Linked DNA regions of Pelodiscus sinensis. The protein of the gene in region 2 interacts with the protein of the main gene of each other region in a biochemical or structural test. Links are inferred from orthologs where the notes say so. Each region holds a gene or a part of one and is shown on either strand. Other genes may lie near its edges.

Evidence for each region.
Region 1: the proteins of PARP1 (region 2) and APLF form a complex in vitro, tested with the Homo sapiens proteins (3 studies listed by BioGRID and IntAct, with this or other methods). The link is inferred for Pelodiscus sinensis from reciprocal best matches to the Homo sapiens genes PARP1 and APLF.

Annotation. Positions count from the first base shown.
Region 1 is NC_134713.1:181,608,258-181,615,486, forward strand, and holds the start of APLF (aprataxin and PNK-like factor), read right to left. Parts: upstream 3,005-7,229; 5' UTR 2,858-3,004; coding exon 2,765-2,857; intron 1-2,764. Other genes in the region: FBXO48 (F-box only protein 48), read left to right, coding at 4,686-4,991. UniProt on the Homo sapiens protein: Histone chaperone involved in single-strand and double-strand DNA break repair.
Region 2 is NC_134713.1:157,460,428-157,467,312, forward strand, and holds the start of PARP1 (poly [ADP-ribose] polymerase 1), read right to left. Parts: upstream 3,018-6,885; 5' UTR 2,849-3,017; coding exon 2,729-2,848; intron 1-2,728. UniProt on the Homo sapiens protein: Poly-ADP-ribosyltransferase that mediates poly-ADP-ribosylation of proteins and plays a key role in DNA repair.

The DNA.
Region 1 (7,229 bases), about 24 Mb from region 2:
TTAACAAAATACGTATAAAAGCTTTTGGTGAATTCAACACTATTTGCTAACTAAAGAAAGATACCATTGTGATTAAGCACTAAGTGCTAATATGGATAAGTGAAGCTGAGTAGAAGCCCTGGTCTACACTTTACATTTAGACTGACATAACTACCTCACTCAGGGGTGTAAAATTCACTCCTTCAACTCCATATTTCAGGCAACACTAAGAACTCCAACTTAAGAATTCTTCTACTGACCTAGCTACTGCCACCCAGTGAGATGGAATACCTGCAATGATAGAAACACCCCTCCACAGATGAAGGAAACATCTATACTACAGTGTTAAAGCAGTACAGTTGCACCACTGCAGCCATACTTCTAAACTAAATGTGTGAAAGGTTAACCAGTAAGCATCAGCTTAAATGGGTAATGCTTACCGATTCCACTTACTAGTAACCGGTGGGGGCTGCAGTAGCTTCCCACCTGCTGCAGGTGACCACTGTGGACAGGGGCTGCTCTCGTCCCAGCCCCCGCGAGGGAGGGACCCCTTCAGGCGCCCAGCCCTACTTCCAGCAGGGGGAGGGGCGCGGAAGGGAGGGGCAGGGACCAGCAGCCATGTGGGCTGCTCAAGCCAAGCTGTAGCAGTCCTCAGCTCAGATCATGCTTAGTCATTAACCAGTTAAACATTAGGTCAACCTAACTTAACATTTAACTTGTTAACTGATTAACTGGAATTTTACATCCCTACTCCAAATTACAAATCCCTACTTCAATAATTACAAAATTAAGATTGTTTAAAGATACCTATGAAGGGACAATGCCAAATTAAGTCGCATCTAAAATACTATTACCAGCTCATGGTTACAGGTATACTTCGAAGTATACTATTGAGAACATTGTTTCACTTTAAATGTGCACTCAATGCTTCAGAAATAGTGATTTTTCTGGAGAATGCCCTCATGTGTTCTAAAGCACTGTTTCTCAATGATGGGTTGTAGGCCCAATACTGAGAAGCCACAGGTGGGCTTGAAAAGTGAGTGTATCCTGCTCTCACTTGCAGAAGCAGCTCCTGCCCCAACAGGCTGAGCCTGATTCCACATTCAAGCGTTGTGAGCTGACATGCAGGAGGCATCCCAATTTCACCCACACATCAGAACAGCTAGATAGCCAGGAATCCAGCATGCCAGGTCAACAACACGCAGGGCCTTGCCCAGTGAAACTAGAACCACTGCGGAAGCATGCATGTGAGGCAGGGTTGCTCACTAACTGCCTCTAGGGCAGGGCCTCCCCTCCGCATTAGGCTGGGATTAAGGATGAAATATCAGGGCAGCATCAGGTACTACCACAGGTAGTCAGTGCCCTGACAGCATGGCAGTTGATGATGGCACCAGCCTATGATTTTACTCCCATTGCAGATGGCTGATCCTGGCCAAACAGTGAGAGCTGCAATCATCAGTATCTGCAGCCATGTAGGCAAATATAGTGGTGGGAGCCCACCAGGAGCTAAACCTGGTAGACTGATATTTGCAGACCCCTCACCTAGAGGATTCCTGGAAGGGCTATAAAACCTCATTTAATATGTTAATCCATTTAGCTATATGTTTAACTGGTTATCCAGTCCACCATGTTGCACCACTGCCAGGCTTAAGCACCCCTTTCCCGTGGTGTGCTGTGGATGGGGTGGGGGGCTGCTCTAGCCAAGCACCAGTCAGCCAGTTACCCCTTTATATCCCTAGTTCCTGGCACCTGTAATATCCAGGACATTCTGAGGGAAAGAGATAGTGGCATGCAAGCAACCCTATACAAGCCTGGACTGAGGCATCCGGCTGTTTCTCCCTCTGGATCCCTGACCTCGAACTACGGGGGAACAGGGAGGAGGATGTAAATATCTGGGAAGGGGCTGTGGGTGTCTGGGAAACAACTGGGAAAGGGGGCAGAGAAACCCCTATGAAACAATTCATGATTGAATACTTGACACCTGGGGGAAGGAAAAGATAGTGTATGTATTGTTACAATCAGACATATTTGCTGGCATAGGCATCTGATGCCTGAGAGGGGAAGGGGTGCAGAAAGGAAGCACCCCATTTAACCATCAAAATTTTGGCAGAGGTATGGGGAGCAGGGCAGTGAACCTCTTGGGTGTTACCACAACTTTCCTATGCTTGGTGACAAGTATTTTGAAATTAAAAAAATACAAAAAATAATCAAAACTGGCATGATTATGTAGTGTTTTGACAAATACAATTTGCAAAATTTTATAGAACTTTAAAATATTTTGCTCTGAAATGTTCCCCGCCCCCCCCACGCGCACAGAATTTAATTTCTTGGCACAGAATGTCTCCAGGAGTAGTTAGACCCCACATTTCATCTCATTTGGAGCAGAATCCAGACAAAGGTGTTGCTACAGAACGGGGCAATGCAAAACAGCACTGCCAACCCGTGCGAGGGATCAGTCTCCTCATGTTTCGAGTGTCTCTTAACGCCCAGCTCCCGGAGTCACGTTAAAAGGGAATCTCAGTTACAGCGGGGATAGGCTTGCAAAGAGGAGGGGGGCTGTGATTCCGCCTTCCCCCGCCAGGGGGTGAAGTCCGAGGACCCAATGGTCCCTTCCGGCCCCAGAAGCCCCCCCGGGATAATGTGAGGGGGATAATCGCTCCCTCACGGGAGAATCACAGCGCCTGGCCCAGCCCGAGGCGGCTCCCCGGCCGGAGACGGGGGGAGAGGGGAGCTGCAGCGGGAGCGGGGGCGGGGACAGGGAGCCCCCCCGAGGAGCCAGACTTACTCCCAACAGGGGGCCTCTTCCCAGCACGGTCTGGCCGGGCGGCAGCGCCAGCGGGCAGCCCCCGTCCGCGGGCGCGAGCTCGAAGCCCGGCATGGGCCCCGCGGGCGGGACAGGGCGCGGCCCCCGCTGCCCCTTTGCACTTTTCTTGAGCCAGGTCGGGAGGCTTCTCGCCCTTCCGCTTCCCTCTGGGGCGGCCAGCTAGCGGGCGCGTCTGGCTACCGCCCTGTGCGTTCAGATCGCCGCCCCGCCCGGAAACGGTAGTTCCCAACTCTCCCCCGCGCCGCCCGGCCGCGCTTCAGCGTCCCCGCAGGCAAACTACAAGTCCCGGCGTGCCCCGCTGCGGCGCATGCGCGGGGTCCTGTTTACCTTGGGAAGGGTGGAAACAAGCCCGTTCGAATGGGGGAGACGTTAAAACCGGCAACGGCGGGCAACGGCGCGGGGCCAGGTAGGGGGCGGACTGCTCCACGCGCCTGGGCCGGGGGCTGCTGCGGGGAGCGCTGGCTCCAGCCACGCCCTGGGCTGGGGAGTTCCGCAGCAGGGCCCAGGCTGGCAGCGGACGCAGGGCACCGTCTAACGCGGGCGGGAGCCACCGGCCCACAGAAAAGCCGCCAGGGCCACCCACACGTGAGCAGCCAATAAAACGAGCCCCTCGCATCACACTCGGCCCCTGGGGGCGGGGGGCTTCCCCCATTCCCCACCCGCGTCTACTCCTCGCCCAGCTCATGGGGGCGGGGGCAGCCTAGCCTGGGCACAGGGCATCGCCCACGGCTCGAGTGATTGCCATGGAGCTGCCCATAGGCACCAGTGTTCAAATCCCCACCTCACCCAGCATCCCAGCAGTGGTCGTCTCCAGCTCTCCTCCATGCCCCCCCGGCTGGCTTCAGTGTCGCCAGATGGAAGCTACAAGTCCCAGAGTGCCCACAGGCGTGGGGCCTATTTTCTTTAGCAAGCCACTGCCCAATAGGCTGTGAACAAGCCCATTCGGGTCGCACCTAGGGGCAGCAACACAGGGCCAGGTAGGGTGCACAAGGCACTCTGTACTTGCTCCACACATTTCCCTATGTGCAGGGGCGGCCTATCCATATAGGCAAATCGCCTAGGGCGCCAAGTTAAATGGGGTACCAAATGGTGACACAATATCGTTGAGGGGTTTGGAGGTGGGGGCACCGATTTGCAAGGTTCGCCTAGGCCGCTCCTGCCTATGTAGAATATGGGACACCGGGGAGGGGGCTGCCAGTGCTCAGAGTTTCAGCCTCACTGTGTGGGTGCAGCCACCAACACTCAGTGCTTCAGCCCTGCAGCGGAGTGGGAAGGGGGGCTGCTGGCACTCAGAACTGCAACCTTGTAGGAGGGGGAGGGGAGGACCACCACCAGCATGCAGAGCTTCAGCCTTGTAGTGGGCGGGGGAGGGAGGAGCAACCACTTGCGCTAGGGGCTTCAGCCCCATAGCTGGGGGAAGCCACTGGCACTCAAGGCGTCAGTGTTGCAGGGGTGGGACAGAAGCCACCAGTGCTCAGGATTCCAGCAGCCAAAGCTCTGACTGCTGGTGGCTCCCCATCCACCCTGCCCCACTGCAGCGATGAAGTTCACCCCCACAACATGCAGAATGGGGAAGGAAGGGGAAGATACCAGGCCCTGAGTGCTGTCAGTTCCTTCTCCCACCCCCTGCAAGGGAAATTTGGGATAATGTGCCCACTTTTTTTTTTTCCTACAAAGTCAGGACTGAAGGAGGCGGCCTTAAATAAGGGACTGTCCCAGTAAAAACAGGACAGATTGTCACCCTATGCTTGCAGCACTTGAACATATATCCTTAAGCATTAGAGTTATCTTGATAAAAGTTAACTGCATGTATAATATAAGTGACCCCTGCACTTCTTCACCCCTAGGATTACTCATGGTGGATGTGTGGAGACCATAAATTATGCAGAAAACCTCAAAGAAGAACAAACAGGAAGGTACTTCATGTAAAGAACGGACCATCCTTCCATCATCCAAAAAGAAAGAAGAAAGTCAGGAGGACTTTGTGGAGCTGCTGCCTCCAGAAGTCACCTTGAAAATTTTCAATGAACTGGACGTTCAGAGCTTATGCAAAGCTGCAATGACTTGCAAGAGCTGGAATCGCACAATTGAGAACAGTGACCATTTGTGGAAACATCACTGTTTAACTGTAAGAGCTGTCTGTCAGCGAGAGATAGACTTTGATCGAGGAAATGGATATTCATGGAAGGTAAATTAAAGGCCATGGACTGTCTAGCTTTGGGAACCTGGATAGCTTTGGGAATCAGTATTAAGATGTAAGGTTCTCTCCTTATCAGTATTTCTGATCCATCCACAGTGAAGAGAAAAATTAAAGTTATCTAATACCTGAAGCTTGTGAGCTCTCAGGGCTTGTCTACATTACAAAATTAAGTTGACTTAAGTCAGTGTACAAGCCACCAGTGGTTCACATGCACACTTGCTCCTTTGGTTGGTGGTGCATATCCCCACCAGGAGTGCTTCACCAACTGAAGTGGTACATAATAGGACACAGCTGAAGCCCACCAGCCTATGGTAACACTGGCATGGCACTCATTGCTGGCCCACTGTCAGCAGGGTACAATGGCCTCAGCTACAAGCCAGCATCTACAGCTGACAAGTGTAGCTATCATCACCAGAAAAGAGGACTACAACTAACAGCTCCCACTGGGGTTGATGGCCAACCAGCTGTGTCAGTTAATCAGTGTCTTAACTGCATTAACAAAAGAACTATACCCCTCGTGGAGTTAGAGTTATGTTGGCATAGAAAGTGACTTATTTTGGCAGAAGCAGTATTCTAATGTAGACATTGACATAATTAGGTGAATGCAAGTCATCTTGCATCAACCTAAGTACCTAACCTTGTAATATTGACCAGGCCTTAGTGACAGTGTCACAACAACCATCACAAATGGCAGTCTCTGAAGCTCTGAAGAGATGGCAAAACAGTACCATAAAGAAAAATTAATTATCCTCTGTTCCCTGATAATAGATCAACCAGTTCTTGGATGGAACATATTGAGAAAGGAGGGCAGTTTTACACACCTGGTTAGAGCCTTGCAAATCTGAGAATATCTACTTTATATATGCAGGTATCAGCAACCATGGATCTGGATGCGGATATCCACAGCTCATTTTTGCAGATGCTGTTGTGGATTCAAATTTTGTATTTAGAAAACCCTGCAAGTTTGTATCTGTATCCATGGAAAATGGATGCCAGGGATGTAAAAGGTTAACCAGTTACCTGGTAAGCATTAGGCTTACTGAGTAACCGATTAACTGGACTGCCAACCCCTGCAGCACAGCAACAGGCTGGCCCCAGCCACGCTGCTAAATATGTTGAGTGAAATCCTATCAAGAAAAACAGTAGCAAATTCTCACAAGTGAGCTGTTAAATATAGGAAGGCTGAAATATAGAAAAGCTGAAAGATTGAAACACAGCTATCCAAAGATTCTGAGTAACAGCAAAAACATTTAAATACATCAAAAGCAGGAAGCCTGCTAAACAACCAATGGAGCCACTGGATATTCAAAATGCTAAAGGAGAGTTCAAAAATGATAAGGCCATTGCAGAAAAGCTAAATGAATTCTTTGCATAGGTCTTCACAGCTGATAAGTCACCAGGAGCATATGATATTCAGCCAACAGTTCAGAAGGAACTTAATTATGGAATAACAGAATTACTGTATTATGTAACCTAGGTTTTGTCTCCATTGCCAGCTTTGCTGGCAGAGGGTATGCAAATGAAGCACAGATTAGCCTTTTGTTGTGCTTCATTTGCATAATCTATTCAAGCTGTTTTTGTGCAAAAAAAACAAAACAAAAAAAACCCCAGTGTGGACGTTTCCTTTTTGCGCAAATACACCTTTTTGCACAAGATCCTTATGCCCTTCTGGGAGAGAGAGAAAATGATATCCCCAAAGGATCTGAACTGAGTCCAATACTGTTTGACGTATTTATAAATGATCTGGAGAAAGGGTGACCAAATTTGCTGACAATACAAAACTACTCAAGATACATCCAAAACAGACTGCAGAGAGCAACAATGGGATCTCACAAAATTGTGTGACTGGACAACAAAATGGCAGATTAATTCAATCGTAGAATCCTAGAACTGGAAAGTACCTCAAGAGGTCATCGAGTCCAGTCTCCTTGGTCACAGCAGGACCAAGCAGTGTCTAGATCATCCCTGATAGATGTCTATCCAACCTGCTCTTAAATATCTCCAGTGATGAAGATTCCACAAGCTCCCTAGGCAATTTATTCCAGTGTTTAACCACCCGACAGGATGTTTTTCCTAATGTCCAACCTAAACTAGGATGTGAAGGACTAGTCAACTATTATCGGATAGTCAACAGGATAGTCGATTAGTCGCTCTCTCCCCTCTCCCCCCCTTTATCTGATAGTGGCAGCAAGGGGGGAGGAAGAAAAAGGGGTTCTTCAAAGCAGC
Region 2 (6,885 bases):
GGGGGGAGGTGCAAGCCATAGAAGGAGCTGGTGGCTGCCCTACTCCCATGGCTGGCCTGCCTCTTCCCCCATGGTGGGGGGAGATCAACCCCAGTCTTCCCCCAGCTGGCTAGATGCCACCCCAGCCTTGGCAGGGGGAGGTGTAGTCGCACGCTCTGCACCCCCTCTGTGTACGGGTCTGATTGGGAAGCAGAGAATAAGGTAGAAAGGAATGGCAAGAGTAAAGTGAATAAAGTGAGGGCAAGAGAGGAAACAGAGCAGACACCAAAACAGATGGAGGAAAAGATACCTAGCTATATTGTGGTAGAAAGAAAAGAAGTGAAGAGAAAAGGAAGGAAGAAAAATATAAAGGCAGTTTAATAAATTGAGGTTTTGTGTTTTACAGAGCTAAATACCTACGTTACAACAAACAGCTCTATTTTGGGAGGGGAAAAAAAGGCATGCAGGAAACCTTTGCCATTCATGGGGGAACCTCCTATATTTAATGGAAACAACTAGAAGAGTATCAGTGCCTCTTGGGAAGCAGAAGGCTGCAAGCCAGTGGTGAATAAACTCAGTGGGAGTTGGACAGATTTTTCAAGCCCTACCCTAACGAGAAGAGATCTCCCTCCTGTGCTACTTTCACTCATAGGCAGAGCTAGACAAATAATGCAATCTACTCGCCAACCCAGAAGAGCTGGGTTCGGGCAATCTGCGCATGTGCAGATAGCCGGACAGCGCGGCTGGCAAGCAGGGCTCGCCGCAGTTCGGCGAGCCCTGCTCATAGAGATGTAGGGATCAGAACACAACCACACTAGGAATAGTTGGCACTTGGACATTATCTGAAAAGTCCCCTATTGAGGAATTTGTGAAGTGCTCAAGACTCTGGAATGTTATCTTATTTGGCTGAAGCAAAGGCAACAGCAACAGAAATTAGACCTCTCTCCATAAAGGGTCTGTGGTAGATGTTAAATTTCAATAGCTAATCGAGTAGTCGATGGAATTTCGACTACTTGATTAGTCGATAAGGGGGGCCGCCTGCGACTTGTGCATTTCAAAGGCAGAGGCACAGCTGGGAACCCTCGCGAGCATGGACTGTTTCGATCCCCACTTGCACCATTTCCCCACTGCGCATGGTGGGGGAGGGAGGGAGAGGGGAGAAGTGACTAGACATGTAGTGACTCTTCCCCATTAGGGATGTAAGTGATCACTACCGCAGGCAAGCCTAGGGTTATGTAAAATCCTGTTTAATCAATTAACTGATATGTCGTTTAAGAAGGTATTAATTCCAAGGACAGAAGAATGCCTCTGCACCAGGTTTAATCATGGATGTGGCCAAACTATAATTATGACACACGTGTTCCTGTGTGGACTGAAAAAAAAAGAAAAGAAAAAGAGTAATCATAACCACGTTTTAACCTTGGTAAATTCCTAGGTTTGTGTACACTAGCCTTCTGTGCAGCTTTGCTGTCTTGTCAGACCTGGCAACAAATGCATCTAACCAGAGGGAAAAATAGAGCAAGGTGTGAGAATTCACTGATAAGGTGGTAAAGCAGATTTCTTTACAAATGCAAAGATCAAAAAAGGGGAGAGAGGGAATGCTACTTGCCACTAAAAATAGGTTAAACTCATCTACAGACAGGAAGGAAGATTTGTGTATCAAACACAAATAGCATTGTCCAAAACACATCTTAAACTGCCCAGGAAAATGCCTTCAAAGTTCCTCAGCAATAATGGAAATTGAGTTCACACTTCAACTAAATGCCTCATTTTGACCTCCAGCCCTCCCCCATCTGCAATTATTTGTCTCCACATACAGGTCTCAAAGCTGCAGACTGAGGTAAACAGTTTTTTTTAAATTGTATCCTTGGGTATATATGGTCGAGACTATTTTCTTCCACTATTTGATCTGAGGAAGTGGGTCTGGCCCACAAAAGCTCATCGTCTAATAAACCATCTTGTTAGTCTTTAAAGTGCTACATAGTCCTGTATTTTGTTTGAGGTAAACAGAGCATTCCAATGTACTTTACAAATGATAAGCAATTCACAAAAAATATACTGAGGAGTAAATGGCCAATATTCCCCAGTGAGGAAGTGAATGTAGTTAGAGTCCAGTATCACATGGACTGAGATTCTATCAGGGATAGAATTTATACTGCTTTTCGTCAACTCTAAATAAATCATGCCTTCCTGTGAAAATCAGCTAAAAATTACACAACTAATTACTGTCAACCAAATAGAGAGAAATTAAAATGGAAGCCATCTAGCACATAACTTAAGGTTTTCTTTGCTTTCTGCCATCATCTAACCACAGCATCAAGCAAGCTGAGACAACGCAATGACTTGGGAATGATGACTCTGCCTTCTGCCTTTCATCTCGCATTCTCGCTCATTTCAAGGTATGGACTTCGAATGCCCCCTAGTCAGGGCAGCCGGAGATCACGTCACTGCTTCTGACTGATGTGCACCGATCACACCATCTTCTGCGGAAACAGCGATCCCCTCCAGCTTGCAAGAGCAGCCCCCCGCTCGCGACTCGGAACCCCGCTCAAGTCCGGCTGACCCCAGCCCGCCGCGCCGCGCGAGCCCCAGAGGCTGCAGCCGCGGAGCGCGAGCCGCGCTGCAAACCGAGAGGGATGAATGGGGCGGACGCTCGGCCCGGGGCGCCGAGGGGAAGGCGGCACGTGGCCGCTGCCGGCCTAGCCGCAGGGAGCTTGGGGGCGGTGCCGGCTCCCGGCCCACGCGGTACCTGCACCATGATGGCCAGGCGCAGCGAGTCCTTGGCGATGCTCTCCCCGCATTTCTTGCACGAGGCGCGGCCGCTCTTGGCGTACTCGGCCCGGTACAGCTTGTCCGCCGGCTCCGCCATGGCGAGCGCGGGCAGGGGACGCGCGGGAGCCGGCGGCAGCGAGCGCAGGCACCCGCCGCGCTAGCCGAGCGCCACGCAATCCACCCGGGCTCAGCCCCGCCGCTCGAGCCGCTGTGCAGCGCTCGACTGAGCCCCCTGGCCGGGCTCGGCGCGTGTCCCGGCTCGCTGCGCTGGAGCGATGGGAAGAAGGACGCAGCTTGGGGCGCGCGGGAAGGTGTCACATGGCAGCGCCTGCTCGGGCGCGCAGTGTAGGGGGCGGGGGCAGAGCGGAGCCCCGCCCCTTGGCCGCGTTGCTGCTGCAGCTGCCAGTCCCAGCCAGCGGGGCTGCTTAGAGTGGCTGCAGGCCGGGGCTGTGTGGTCTGCTGGCCTCTAGCCGCACAGCGCTCCCCTCCCCCCCCCCGTTCCTTGGCCGCCTGCTCGCTTCAAGGCGCTAGAACGTGTCCCTTGAAGTTAGAGCTGGGTGAGGCTGTTTGTACCCTCAGATCTAGCCCCTGCTTACAGCTGGGCTGATATAACCGGGCCAGAGATAAAACTCTCTGGCTCCAGGGGGTAAAACTCACAGGTGGAGGAAAATTCCACTGTTTTCCACAGAGCTCCTCCCACACCTTACCAGTCCCCCTCTGTCCAGGATCCACTTCATGGCTCTGTGCCTACATGAGTTGCTTTAGGGCAGGGGTCTCCAACCTTTTTAAGCAGAAAAATCATTTGAATTTAAGTGCAATCCAAGATTTACCTCAAATATAATTACTCTTGCCCCAACTTTCTCCCCCTTTATTTACGCACACCCAATCCGTGGCCCCACAAAGTCGCGAGACCTCCTCGTCAACCTCCTCCTGGCCTTAGCGAAAGCTGCCATTTATAATAGCAGGAGGAGGAAGTTAGACAAGGGGGTTCTCTGCAACTGTGGGGCCTATTTCTGCTCCTCCCTCGTGTCATGAATCCGGGCAGAGTTCCTCTGGGCGGCGTCCACTGGCTCCATCGACAGCTTTGAGGAGCAGTGGGCGCTGTCCGGGGTTCTCTGCTCGGTGTCCCCATCCGGCTCCCTTATTTTGAACCTCTAGCCCGCACTTCTTGATCCTTTAGTCATTATTTGTCCCAAGCAATCAGTTGGACATGGGTCCAGTGTCCCTCCCATAAGGTTGGGGAGGGGCTTTTAGAGCCACCATCCCATGATTTCAAATAGGCCCCCTCCATTCTCTGAGGCCCCACCCCTGCTCCATCCTCCCTCTCTTGCCCATCCTCACTCACTTTCATCAGGCTGGGGCAGAGAGTTGGGGTGCAGGTTCTGGTCTTGGATTAAGGGATCTGGAGCCACTCTTGGAGCAGGCAGCTGGGATGTAGGAGGGGTTCTAAGTGCAGGCTCTGAGGGGTGCTTGGGGTGCAGGGGAAGGTTCATGACCAATGTAGGAGTTCAGGATGTGGGCTCCACCTGGGCTTTGCATACCTAGGTGGCTCCTGATTGGTGATGTAGTGACCTACTCCTTAAAATAGCCAGCAAATTCCATCCCAAGTCTTGTTGTGCCCACTCTTTGCTTTGTGGAGAAAGGATACAGAGTGAGAGGGGACACCCTGATATCATCACTCCTCATCTTCCTCCCCTGCCCTGCCCAGAAAGTAGGTGGCTCCCCAGTGGGAGAGGCAGGAGATGAGCAGCAGTGTGAGGAGGGGCAGCTGAAGTGCTGGCACTTGATAGCCTCTTGGCCAAACCAGGCAGGATCACCTGTCAGAGGCTCCAAGAGCTAAGATTTACTGGTTGGTGACCACTGCTTTAGGGAATCAACACCCCTTTCCCAGCATGGGCCCAATGGCAACTAGCTAGTTCCTGATTCCTCTGAAAGGGGAAATTCTTCACTGTTGAGGGAACCGCAAAAACAGTTAATTCAGTCTCTGTGAAACTCATCACCACCAGACAGCAAGCTGGATGGACTGCGAGGCTACATCTACATTGCACAGTTATTTCAGAATAAGCTGTTCTGGAATAGTTATTCCAAAATAGCTTATTTCAAAATAGCATGTCTATACCGCAGGGAAGCCTAAAAATTAGTCCAAGGCAGGCTTCCCTAATGTAGACGTGCTATCTCAATTTAGAGCTCCAGAAGGAATAACTTAGAATGGCCCTGATAAGGGCCTATTTCATAATTGCAGCATTGGAGCATTTACACACACATTATTGCAATATAGCTATTTCAGAATAGGCGTTATTCTTCGTAGAATGAGTTTTACAGAAGTCAGAATATTTCAAAATAATTTTGAAATAGAATTGCTGTGTAGACACTCACATAGTTATTCCGAAATAACTTTGCTGTGTAGATACACACAAAGCAGCTGCTTTTGCGGAAAAACTTGCCAGTTGTCTATACTGGCTGCTTGAATGTCTGCAAGAACACTGACTTGCTACTGTATGAAATCAGTGTTTCTTGCAGAAATACTATGCTGCGCCCATTCGGGCAAAAGTCCTTTTGCGCAAAGTTTTTGACGAAAGGGCCAGTGTAGACAGCTCAGATTTGTTTTGCGCAAAAAAGCCCCGATCACGAAAAAGCGCGTCTAGATTGGCATGGAAGCTTTTCCACAAAAAGTGCTTTTGCGGAAAAGCGTCCGTGCCAATCTAGATGCTCTTTTCCTCAAATGCTTTTAACGGAAAACTTTTCTGTTAAAAGCATTTGCGGAAAATCATGCCAGTCTAGACACAGCCTGAGTGTTTCCAGGGATCAGGTGTGACCCATGCATTTACACATTCTCAGCTTCCTTTCCCTGATATGGGCCCTGAACCTGCAGAGAGTCCCCAGTGGTGGAGTATTGATGTTAATCTCCATAGAGTTCAGGGGAGATCTGCAGGTAATGAACCACTTCTGTCCTTTTATGTCAAGAGCATAATCTGACGCTGGGGGGGGGGGGGGGGGAATATGATTGTAAGGTTGAGGAAATTAGGTGGTGTACCACAATCCTTCCTTTCGTGCCTGCATTTTCTTACAGGCCTGGATGCTTTAGGCAGCCATTTATGCTTTTTGCTTCTTATTATTCTTTTGTTATTCTCAAAGGCTATGTCTACACTGGCAGGTTTTTGCACAAGAACAGTTGTTCTTGTGCAAGAAGCCGCAGAGCATCCACACTGCCCACCCTCTCTTGCGGAAGAAGATTTACAGTACAGCGTGGTAAGAGAGGCCTTCTTGTGCAAGAACTACGCTCTTTTTTAACAGGTATAAGCCCTCTTGCGCAGGGGCTCTTGTGCAAGAGGGCAGTGTGGACACTCGACAGCGGTTTCTTGCGCAAGAAAGCTCTATGGCTAAAATGGCCATCGGAGCTTTCTTGCTCAAGAGAGTGTCCACACTGCCATGGGCGCTCTTGTGCAAAAGCATAGCTCGCACATGGCAGTGTGGACGTTTTCTTGCGCAAGACTTCTTGCATAAGAACCCTTGCCTAAGATGTTACTACGCAAAAAGCCGCCAGTGTAGACATAGCCAAAGAGTTATCTGTTTGCTCAAGATGGTACAGTGTAGGAATGCACTGTTGACTTTCAACAAGTTTTGGGACAGCTCCCAAGGCCATGCACCTGGTATGGGAGTGCAGGAGGGCTTGGGAAGGTCACATAGATATCTGTGCTGAATGTTTCCAACCTGATAATGCTACTTACTTGGCCTAGGAAAATATACAAAGTATCAAAAAGCTAATTATTGGATGTGGGGAAAATATGCAATGTATCAACGATCTTGTTAGGTTCTCAAAACAACAGGGGTAATTCCTGTAGATCCAACAGTATATAAGTACCAGGGATATTCCTAACATTAGAACCTCGGCGTAGACCAAAGCCACAGAAGGTGCTATGTACTGGCCACTGGGGTCTGTCTGCTGTCCTTCTTCAGGGGGTTCCCGGCACATAGGCATTGCATTTTATTCTGAGGTTTGCTTAGGCTTAATGAGGATTGTATTTTCTTAATAAGTATTGTACTTTATTCTAAATTTGCTTCATTGTACTTTACTCTAATATTAAGCATTGTATTTTACCCTAATATTTGCTTGGTAAAATCTTTAAGCCTTCA